Drosophila melanogaster: one gene and its partners. The protein of the gene in region 1 interacts with the protein of each later gene in a pairwise test. Each region holds a gene or a part of one and is shown on either strand. Other genes may lie near its edges.

Region 1 (2,609 bases):
ATGCGTAGTTTTTCTAATGGAAAATTAAAAATGGCTTATTAATAATCTGCCGACATTGATTTTATGCAATGTGCCATTTATCACGAGACTTCTAGGAAACTAATTAAACCAGTTTCATTAATTAAATTTATTCATAAATTGTAAAACTGTCGAGTTTGTTAGGAAAACCCAGAACCGGATTCAAACACCAAACTTGCACTTTTCGATGTAACACGGTTGATAATTTGTTGGAAATATTAACATGACAAGATTATCTTTATTTCCCATAAAGTGATATGGGTGCTGGTAAATGAAGATTTGTGTTCATAAATGAAAATGGCCTTTCCAACTCTTGTTAAGACTGAAATAGTCTATGCTTTTTTTTTCTTAAATGCTTATTATGAGTTGAATTATATATTCCACTTCTTTCTAAATGAATTTTAGCTTTCTATTGAAGTTAACTCTGATTATTTATCATTTAATTATTTCTTCCATTCCATTATAAATCTCATTTTCGAAGTAAATTTATGATTTTAAAAGGATTCGTTCTTTAAGTAGAAATAAAACTGTATTATTTGCTGTGAAGTATATTCTTTATTTTTCTTTTCAAAACAATAAAAAACATATGACACACATATGTGTCAAACATATTGGACGATGAGGATCCTCAGCATTGTTCGCACCAGCACTTCAGACTGGCACTGCAGTGTCCACTGACACGTCCTTCCTCCCTGCAGAGGCGACGGCACTGCTCTCCATCCCAGGCCCAGCAAGGACCACTGAATCTTCCAGATGGGCAATCCACGGCCGAAGCCGAGTTGGCCACCATTAGGACAATGGTCACCACAGCGAGGAGAGCAAACAATCCTTTAATTTGAGCCATTATTAGAATGTTCTTCTGGTTAAAATCTTTACTTTTGAGTTTCTTGAGTCCGACTGCACTCTTATATAGGTACAGAATTTGTATATTAACCGATTAGCATAAAGGTGAAAATGCAAATAACTGCAATATAACTTTCGAAAGGCATACTTTTGGGCCTTTTACGCGACAAAACGCGCATCGCTATTTTGGGATGATAGAATTGCTATACCTTCTTGATGTTGATGCACCTTTTTGTTTAATATACTTACCACATACATATTAAATCAAATCAAGAGATAACTCCTGAAAGGCAATGCTTACGTGCCTTTTACTGTGCGGTGTACAGTATATTTATTATTGGCTCAGAATAAACAAAAAAACAGCATGCACTTTTGAACTGCAGTGGATCTAGCATCCTTCGCACCAGCACTTCATTGCGCCACTGCAGTGTCCACTGACATGTCCCTCCTCAATGCAGAGACGGCGGCACTTTTCTCCACTCCAGGCCCAGCAAGGACCTCCGAAAGTTCCAGATAGGCAATCACGTGCCAAAACAGTGTTGGCCTCCATTAGGACAATGGTCATTACAGCAAGGATAGCAAACAGGAATATCATCTGCACCATGACAACTGATGTTTTCAACGAGTCGGGAATTTTACTTGAGTTCTTAAAGACTTTTGGCATCGACCACTCGTGGGGACGCTTATATAGAGATACAGATTTTAAGATTTTTTATTTGATCGTAGCAATCGATAAGCTTCTCGGAAATTCAAGCTAACAATAACCGATATAATCCTAGTTTTCCAGAAACACTTGATTTATGTGTGCCATGTGTCAACTTCATTGATTTAAAAATGCATCGTTATCATAATAAGTTATTTACCTAGAATTGCTATCTTTTCGATTTAATGATGTATGTAAACATTCACTTCTCCTAACACATTGCCATACAGGAAATTAAAAGACAACAGTGCGTATGAGTGATAAGCGTAAGAGGCCTTTATATTTATATATTATTTGTTTAGAATGAAATATTCAATATACACATTTCAAATGGATATAGTATGGATTCAGCATCCTTCGCACCAGCACTTCAGGCTGGGACTGCAGTGGCCACTGATATGTCCCTCCTCCTTGCAAATACGTCGGCACATCTCGTTGTCCCAGACGGCGCAGGGACCCTTGTATTTGCCGGAAAGGCAATCGGCATCAGCCATATTGGCGGCCAGGACAACAATTGTCATCACAGCCAGGAAGACGAAAAGGAATTTGATCTGCACCATTGCAACTGATGTTCCGAACGAGTCTGGTACTTTACTTGAGTTCTCGAAGACGTTTGGTATCGACAGCTTGTGGGGACGCTTATATAGGACTACACCACCTCCATGCATTTCCAATAATCTTTTTTAGCACGTTTCAAAATCTTTTGTGATGCATTTGCTCAGTGGCTAGGTGCCTCAACTTTGATGTCACACATGTGCTCCTATCTGAATTCGATAAGCTTCCAAGAAACTCGAGGCAGAGCTCGCAATCTTGCCCATTGCTGCAATCGATAAAATGAATCAGGGAATCAGGAAGTACCAGTGACCCCTGATTGTATCGAAAATTTCGACTCCAAAGAGGCATTTTATCAAATTGTATACAGTTAGTTCGCTTGGTCTAATTATGTTTGGCGTTTATTTACAAACATATACATCTGAAAATTAATGCAGATCATAAAATAATACATGATGTTTGCATTAAATGTATAGTCATTATAAAGTTCGAT
Region 2 (5,051 bases), on another chromosome or scaffold:
TTACTCTTGGCTCGGTCGGATGCATTTGTGCAACCACGACAGTGGGGCATCTACATTGCCAACTTGGGGCCGAATGTTGGCTCAGTAATTACATTTAATTCTATGGCTTGGCAAGGGTTTTGCTTGCGAATTCTATGCAGACTCATTGAATTCAAATGTCATGCCAATATGAAAGGGTTGTCAAGCAGTTACTTCCGTAATCTTATGCTTATTTAAATATACTATTCTTTAAAAAACTTATAATTTCATTTTAACAGAATATATTTATATATTTACAATAAAACATTATGCATTTTTTCTCTTTTCATGGAAATCCATAACAAGCCACAATCTTTTCAATTAACATTATCACACTATTTCATGTTGATTGCTGATTGCAGCTGTGCCTGCAAATGTTTTAAATCGCCCATTCAATAATAACTTTCATTTTATTGAATAGTTTTAGGAGATTACCATAACATAAAATAAACGTTCTATTCAAAGCAAATTCGCTAAATATTTCACTGAAAACATTTATAATTTTATGTAATTAAAACGTGAATTTAGAGTGAACTAGAAATCAAAATCAGAGTTCAAAATAATAGCTGGCCTATGCCAAAATAACATTGGAATACAGAAAATTCATAAATAAATCATCAATTTATCAATGCATAACAATTGCGCAATGTTAATTTTCAAACTGCTGTTTACCAATTTGCTCTTGAGTGGATTTGGTTTAATTAGTGCCGTTTCTGCTCTAACTGTCTATGAAATCAATTCAAATATCTAAACAATAAGTGCGTTCTGTAACCTATACGGCAGTGCAAATATAGGCCATAACCCATGCCCTCGTATTCACACATCTGAAAGTTATTTAATCCGCTCAGCAATTTCGATTGCCATTTATTCACTGGCAGAGTTCAAGACAAGTGCATTTCAGCATACCCGAATTCCACATGCGGACATAAATATTTGAGTAATTGATTTCCCAAGTCGACGATGGGAAAACTTCCAATTTCTTGGCTTGACTACTTTTGGGCCAATGCAAATGGTTTATTTTTGACCGCAGAATCCTTCGACTTGAGCGGACAGTTGAGGTTCTCGAACTAATTGCAAAATTGTCAATGATTTATTCAGTTGGCAATTAAGGTGCCAACTAACGGTGTGGCTGGCACGGCTATATCGATTTGAAAATATTCAATAATCCCGGAGCCTTGATAAGCTCATCAAACATGCACATGGCCATCAGCAGGGGGGGGCAAGTTTGTATTTAGAGCCAAGTGTGTTTGGTGAAGGGGGGTTAGCTGTATATTTCAGGGTTTCCCCTTTTTTTGTCGAGCGGTTTGGGGGGGGGTTTTGCGAGGGGACACAAAAGTACAAGTTGCTATGGATCAAGCTCAAGGCGTGGCAGTTGGGCATTAGCTCTATGGTGGAGCACGGCAACCAAGCGAACAAAGGTCAACTCGACAAGTGAGTTAAATGACAAGGACCTCACCTTGCCTTCCTTGGGCTTCGGCTTTGGCTTTGGCCCGTGCGTGTTTGCATGTTTGGCTCGATGAGGCGACGCGACCCCAAAAATGAAACTCAACTTTGGCTTTGACTGCGGCTCGGGATTGTGGCGTGCAAGCATTATGGCCTTTCGCTTTCAAAACAATGCCCCCATCCTGTTTCCCGGTTGGCCTAGTGGCACTTGCTCCTTGTTGTTGGTTTTTCGCATTGCCCTTGGCCAATTGCGAGTGAATTTTGATGTTTTGACTGGCCATTCCTGGGGCCATTTGACAACTCTATAAAACCGGTGTCCTTAAGCCCGCCCTCGTCCTTGCGCCCAACCCCCAATTACCGTCCAACTACCACCCACCTACACCCCGCTACACCCACCCACAAAGTAAACGTAATTGCCCGGAGAGTTTCGCGACTTTCGACTTGGCCAGCAAACTGAAAAAGCGAAACTTCAAAAAACCCGACTTGACTTGGCAACTGGAAAAGTGGAAAAGCGGAAGCACGAGCTTTCCCACCGAAAAGCTCTCGTGCTCTAAGCTTTCGTCCTGGCGAGGCGAAAACGTAAATGTCAGTCATGGAGTTCCAGTCGTCGGATACATGTGGAACACAACGAACACAGCAGGAGCCTCTCGCGTCTCATCCCCCGAATACAATGCGAAAAAGTCTGTACAAAAAATAGACAAATAAGGAGCAGGAGCGAAAACACCACTCTGTGCATAAGATATAACTCCCGCAGAACTGAATACCTGCAAAAAGAAATACGCGTTAAATGGAATTACGGTGCGGGAATTGATAAAGTGAAGTGTGTTACAGCTAGAAAGCAAGTGAAATAAAACGAATACATTAATAATTCATGCCCCTCATAGTCAGAAGCTTACTAGTTTGATAAGGAATTCAACGTAAATCTGATATAGTAATGTAGAAAAGTTGTACAAAGTAATATACATAGCATATAGCATATAGCACAGTTACACAGAACACACCGCAAACTCAAACAAAGTTGACAAAAAAAAAGCTCACGCCCCTCACATCTCAGTTTTTTCTCGAATTATTTGTGAAAGTGCAACAAACATATATAAAAAATAAAAAAGAAAAGGGAGGAGAGAGCACAGCAAAAAAAGGCAGTGACAGCAGGACCTGCAAAGGAATTGCCATCATTTGGGGATTACGGAATTATCGGGATCCGTTCTCATTAAAATGGATTTAAGGCAATGCCGATGTGCTGAGCTGCATTTGTGCATGGGATTATCGATTGTAATGCGCAGTCATCAAATTATGTTTGAACAACGCCGCCGCGACAGCGATAATAGCAACAATAACAACAACAACAACAACCAAATCAACAACAAACACTGATTTGGCCCCTGACCCCCTTTGGCAGCACCCCCTCCATCCAACACCCCCTACGACCCTGCCCAAGCAAAAGGAGCAGCGAAAAAGAAGAAGCGTCTTATGAAACAATTGAAGCACCGGCCAAAGGAGCAAAGGAGCAGACAAAGACAGAGACAAAAACATCGGCAAAGGATAAAACGGAGGCCGAGAAGAAGAGGAAGCAGTAGTAGCAAAGCAGGAAACAACAACAACAACAACCGCAACATCGCATTTTTAAACGGCAATACGCAAAGTAAGTGAAGTGTAAAGTGAGCGAGATGGCAATAGAAAGGTGTAGAGTGCCGCGAAGAGAGGCGGAGAGAATACACTTGCAAAAATGTGAGCAGCTAATTCCCAGGGATGTTAAAAAAAATTAAACCCTCATGGTTCAAAGATTCTAGGAGATGGACAAGTGATGAATGGTCAGTGGAAATATATGTATGTTTTAAGCCAAGTGAAATCAAAATGATTTGAGAAGTACAAATAAAAGAAAGAAAGGAAAGAATGATATATGATATTTATTGGTTGTAGTACAGGAAAATAATAGTTAAAATGATATCCCGGATTGATGGTCATTACAATGATCGTACCACAAAACTCTTTCTAACTCAAATTAAATTGTTAAAATTATTTTTCAATACAAATTTGATATATTTTTGTTTTTTCGCCGACAAGATGCATAGATCTTTCATAGAATCTGAAATCTATATCTTTTTTATATTGCTTTTGAGAAGAGTAAACCGATCATCATCTACGATCACTCCTTTTTGTTCTGTGTAGGTATGAAGAGAGCAGGTGGGAAGGCAGTGAAGTGAAGTGAAGCATTTGTCGCATTTGTGCAGAATTCCCGACGTAATTAATGTTTAAAGTCTGTGTGTGTGTATGTGTGCGAAGGTTTGTAAACTAGGTCACTAGGAAGTTAGCCCCTTGACGACCATCCCCTCTCATCAGCGCCTCTTCAGCGGCAACTCTACGTCAAAGGTGTCAACTCGCCAAATCTGCAACCACACCTTAGTTAAGTGAGCCACCCCGTAGCCACCAAAATTATCCACAGCACCACCACCTTTTATTCGTCCTTAACACACCGCCATGATTAACGCGCCTCAGTGCGATTAACTGGCAAACAAATTTGGAGTGACGCTGCGGCGATGTACATACATACATATATGTATGCATGTTTGTGCTAAACCGACAGCATTTCCATTCAATAACACACGCGGCTCGTATGCAAACACTGTAAAAAGGTTTTATGCTAAAAAAGACGCCGTATTTGTGCATGAAAAACTGTCATTCATCATCCAACCAACACAAATAACCGGTAATGGCATCGCCACATTATGGCTTTGTATTTTTTACATCCTCAAACACAAAAAAACTTTAGTTGATTTCTGACTTGCATCGCATTCATCACCCACTAAAGTCGAGCAATCAATCCTCAAAATACGTATACGCACTGTTAGTTCAGTTGATTAATAGGCTAATTATGAAGGAAACTGAAAGGAAACACTAAATCAATAAATCCTGGCAAATTAGCATCAGTATATATTTGTGTTAGTGCAAACATTTAAGTTTTCTATCAATTTTAAATACAAATATGTTCAGAATTAAGATATATTTCAAAGGGAACTATGCTTTGTTTAATTAAGATTTAAGGTTTTATAACTATAAAAGCCTTCAAAATGTGCCATCTATTTTATATTCACTTACAAGCAGATTTCAATCAAGACCACTCTTTAATATGATATATTATGTCTAGAACAACCGAGAAGGCACTCTTAAATTAAATATTTTAGTACCGTAATAAATTATGAAACGTGCTGACGGTAAAATATATAATACAATTCATACTTTAAGTTATATTTTTTTTTTGCCCTATATGGTTTTACGTATCGGTGTGTATGTGAGTACCTCGCACACGCAGGACATAGAGATAAAAAGGCTTCTCCCACATAAAAGTTCTATTCTGTTTTTTTTTTTTTATAGAAAAATATTGCTGGCAGGAGTTTAGAACATTGCCAAAGGGGATGCGGACAGATGAAGGGGCGGGGGCGTGGCGGGTAAAAGCCATAAAACTCAGGCGCCGAAGCGCAAAATGCCCTTGCCCTGAACAAAAAGAAGAAATTGAACAGCAACAACCAACAACAAAAACAAAGAAGAACAAGAGCAAATAAAATACAAACTGCTTATTTATTTATTTGTTT
Region 3 (3,768 bases), about 17 Mb from region 1:
AGAAAGAAGACTGCCTGAAATGCTTGAAAGAATAGAGTTGTCCAAAACAGCCAACCATATTGCTAAATACATATATTTTGTAAAAACCATCTTTAATTATATTATATACATACCGATAAGACTGCAAATATTAGCATGAACGATGCCAAGATAGTTAACAAATCGGGAGACATTTGTATCACAGTGTAGAGAGCTTGTTCTGGGTAATAAAACTAGATTATCAAATGGAATCATTGGAACTGCTTAGTCACTAAATTACCTGGGAATTTGTGCTGCATTTCTCTGAAATAGGTTCCTATCAAAACATTAAATTTAATGCAAAAAATAATACTAATGCCAATGTGAATATATATTTACTATTTAAACAAAGGAGCATATAGTCAATGTTCATGCCAGCCAAAAAAATTCCAGCCAATGCAATCAGTATACATCCCATTTGCAAGGATATACAGAAGCAAAATTTTTTAGCCAGAATCATAATTTCAGACGTTTTGACAGGAAATGCAAATAAGATATTCTGCAAAATATTTTTATTTTTAGAATTTCTTTTAAGCCTGAATGTTAAAAAATTATACGTATATTTTAAATTATCAAAACAATTCTTTGTTAATTTCAATGTACAAGATTTGTTTATGAACCACAAGTCGTATACGTAATTTATGTACATTGCAAAACTTTTAAGCAAATACTCATGTTTAGCTCGCCCAGATGATGGCGCCAAATTTAAACGAAATTGCCTTCACATTTTCCGCCATATCTTCTTTATTGTGGTATTAACTTTTTTGCATAATTACAACTTAAGCAATCTGTATTATGGCCTCATTAGCATTAGCCTAGAATTTCCAGCCCGATGTGTGTCGTGTTTGTCAGGCACGCGTGGAATCGTTTTCAGTTCTCATCAAGATGCTAATGAAATTATAAAGAAAATTGAGTCTGCCATATTAGCACAGTAAAAGCATCATCCTCTCACTTGATGAGCATGGGGTAAAGAGCACGAAATGCTATTGCTTTTCATCATCTTAAAAATCAATTTCGCTGATCTCAATTTAATTTTTAAGGACATCCTCTCATTTATCCACACAAACTGGTCTGAATTCATCTGGATGCGCTTTTACATAATAATACGTGTAGACTTTGAGCAAACAAAATAAATCGATTCCTGAAAAGCTGGAGCATAACTTACGAGAATAGAGATTTTTAATATATATGTTTACCCAACGTCACTAAATTCACGAAAACATAAATAATCGCAGAGACAGCACTTTTAAAGAACGGATTGCGAACATTTATCAAAGCATTGAAGATGATGTAGTACGATATCATATGAATGATGAACATGGCCATCCACACGAAAACGATCCTTAAGTACTTCTAAAAGGAATTTTATTAGAATTAAAAATATTGGAAGTGATTTTCTTACCGTCATAACAGATATCAGCAGGATAACTGCAGCTGCGATCATCAGAGCTATATGAAATACATTGAACCATTTCGCATAAACATCAGTCTTGAGTGCTGGTATTTGGGTTTAGATGCTGTTCTTAAAATTCAGGTTTCCTTACTTTTCCAACTCACTGTTCTTGTATATAACCTCATCCACAGTAGTGCCTGCGTTAAGGAATCCGAAAAACAGTGTGTAGAATGAAACTATGATGCATCCAGAAGTCAGCGAGATGCAAAAGCAAAATTCTTGTCTGACCAGCTTTCTTAAAAATGGCATCAAAAATAGGAAAAATACGTTGCTATAAATTTTAGAAAATACAGTTCCATGTTTGACAAATAATGCCAACCGCTTTCAACTTTTAAACTCCATAAACTTCAACTTTCTTTCCATCAGCTGGCGAAACTGAATTGCTGCATCTCCTCTGGTTTTAGGTCACTGCAGTCTTCTGTCATTTTCAACAAAGTTTCGAACGACCTCGACCTCCCACGGAAACTTTAGCCTTTCGGAAAAGTTAGACAAAGTCCCTTGGTCTCTATTTTTTTCTTCATTATTATCCCCTGAGCAAAGTGAAACTGCTGCCTTTTCCTTGCCTAATGCGTTAATTGAAAGCAGCAGCCGTCTAAAAATTATGTTTTCAATAGACTGGAAAATAGGGGGTGATTTCCGAGGCTTGGGGTTTGGGATTATTAAAGATAGCTCGCATCATGGACTTACTTGAAGTGTTAAAGAGGATTTGTGTTGGCAAAAGTTCACTAATTTAAATTTAGTTCAAACAGTGACAAAATATGTTGCAAAGGGAATGCATTGGGCTTAAATTCCATAAATTAAAAAAGATGTTATTACCAAACAAGAATTGATTGGGTGGCTCAAGGGCAATATTTCATGGAAATGTGAAGACGAAGCCTAATAAGACAATATTAGATGGTGGTTTACTAATGAGCCTAATCAGATTAGTGTATTGTTTCCCAGACTTGATTATCTTGGTGCACCATATGGTTGATTTATTTTTGATTGATTGCAGCATCAATTTATTTGTCATCAATACCAACATGTTGGTGTTGATGCCCCATTAAATGTCAGGGAGAAAGAAAAAAAAAAAACAGAAAGTAGAGTAAGTTCAAAAAAAGGACATGTCACATATCATAAGCACCGCTCGAAGCTCCCAGCCAATACACAGATCGATGGAATCTCTTTCATCCACTTCCAGCAGCCACTGGCAGCTCATCTATCATCATTGCCACGAGTCCTTTCTATCCCGGAATGCTTCCACAGTATCCTGTATACTCTCTGCCCCGCTTGACACCCTTGCACCCCATCCCTGCCGTATTTATAGCATCTTAATTGAATTTCAATTTTCAATTTCGCTTTTAATTGAATTCAATGAAAAAGTGTCGATGAGACGGTATTCAGCATTGGTCCCATCCCCATCCCCATCCCCATCCCCATCCAACCATCCGTCCATACCCCCAGAACCCCATCCCAGCCCACTCCCATTCCCTGCACTTGTTGTTGATGCTGTTTATTCAGCTGCCAGTTGAGCACCGCCTGGCTGCCTCTTGATGGCGCCATTCACGCCACAAAGCGTACCGTCCCCACTGAGCTCCCTGCACTTAGAAAAAAAAAATCATTACCATCCTGGTCATTAAATATCAAACGGAATTAGCCATATTATTGCGAAGTCCGTATAAAAATAAAAGAAAATAAATAAAGGCATACAGATGTAATTTTATATTTTGGTATAATTTTAAATAAAAATGCAATCATTCGATTTTTCTGTGTACCTTCGAAATAGGTTTCAAACACCCAAAAACGAATTGTTTTTTGAAATTGCTGTTCCAATTATTTGATCCACAGCAAAATTCACCTGGTTCGTTAATTTAAAAGTAGAAGAATATTCGTTGATAGTGTATTTACTATTTAACAGGTTGAATGGAATATATTCTTGATTAGGATCACTAGCCGAGTCGATCTGGCTTTGTCCGTTTATCTGTCCGTTCGTATAAGCGAAAAATCTTTCATTGCCGCAATTTAAAAATGTACAATATAAATAAATGTATTGTATTTTATTATTGTATTATTGAACTAATTGTTTCTCACCAACTTATATTATTATGGCAAACATATTGTGAAATTTCTCCCTCGCACTCCCGCTATCTTAGTAAAGGGTATCTGCTAGTCGAGGAAATCGAGTTTATCGTTTGCTCTTCTTTTATATTGCTTATTATTAGTTTTATTGTTCGTTATTAATATCTATTTCTATTATTTATTTTAAATGTATGGTACTCCTTTATGATATCCTTGATTTTTTAACAGGCCTCTGATTT

Evidence for each region. Proteins that work in one complex are often made in the same cells at the same time.
Region 2: the proteins of Drsl4 (region 1) and GABA-B-R1 interact in a two-hybrid assay, tested with the Drosophila melanogaster proteins (one large-scale study listed by BioGRID).
Region 3: the proteins of Drsl4 (region 1) and CG42263 interact in a two-hybrid assay, tested with the Drosophila melanogaster proteins (one large-scale study listed by BioGRID).

The regions. Positions count from the first base shown.
Region 1 is NT_037436.4:3,313,890-3,316,498, reverse strand, and holds Drsl4 (Drosomycin-like 4), read right to left. Parts: upstream 880-2,609; 5' UTR 863-879; coding exon 647-862; 3' UTR 557-646; downstream 1-556. Other genes in the region: Drsl3 (Drosomycin-like 3), read right to left, coding at 1,250-1,465; Drsl2 (Drosomycin-like 2), read right to left, coding at 1,912-2,124.
Region 2 is NT_033779.5:15,014,294-15,019,344, forward strand, and holds the start of GABA-B-R1 (metabotropic GABA-B receptor subtype 1), read left to right. Parts: upstream 1-2,037; 5' UTR 2,038-3,103; intron 3,104-5,051.
Region 3 is NT_037436.4:19,954,033-19,957,800, forward strand, and holds CG42263 (uncharacterized protein), read right to left. Parts: upstream 1,768-3,768; 5' UTR 1,721-1,767; coding exon 1,576-1,720; intron 1,516-1,575; coding exon 1,421-1,515; intron 1,372-1,420; coding exon 1,215-1,371; intron 1,160-1,214; coding exon 1,068-1,159; 3' UTR 515-1,067; downstream 1-514. Other genes in the region: CG42654 (uncharacterized protein), read right to left, coding at 1-62, 114-199, 260-295, 358-478.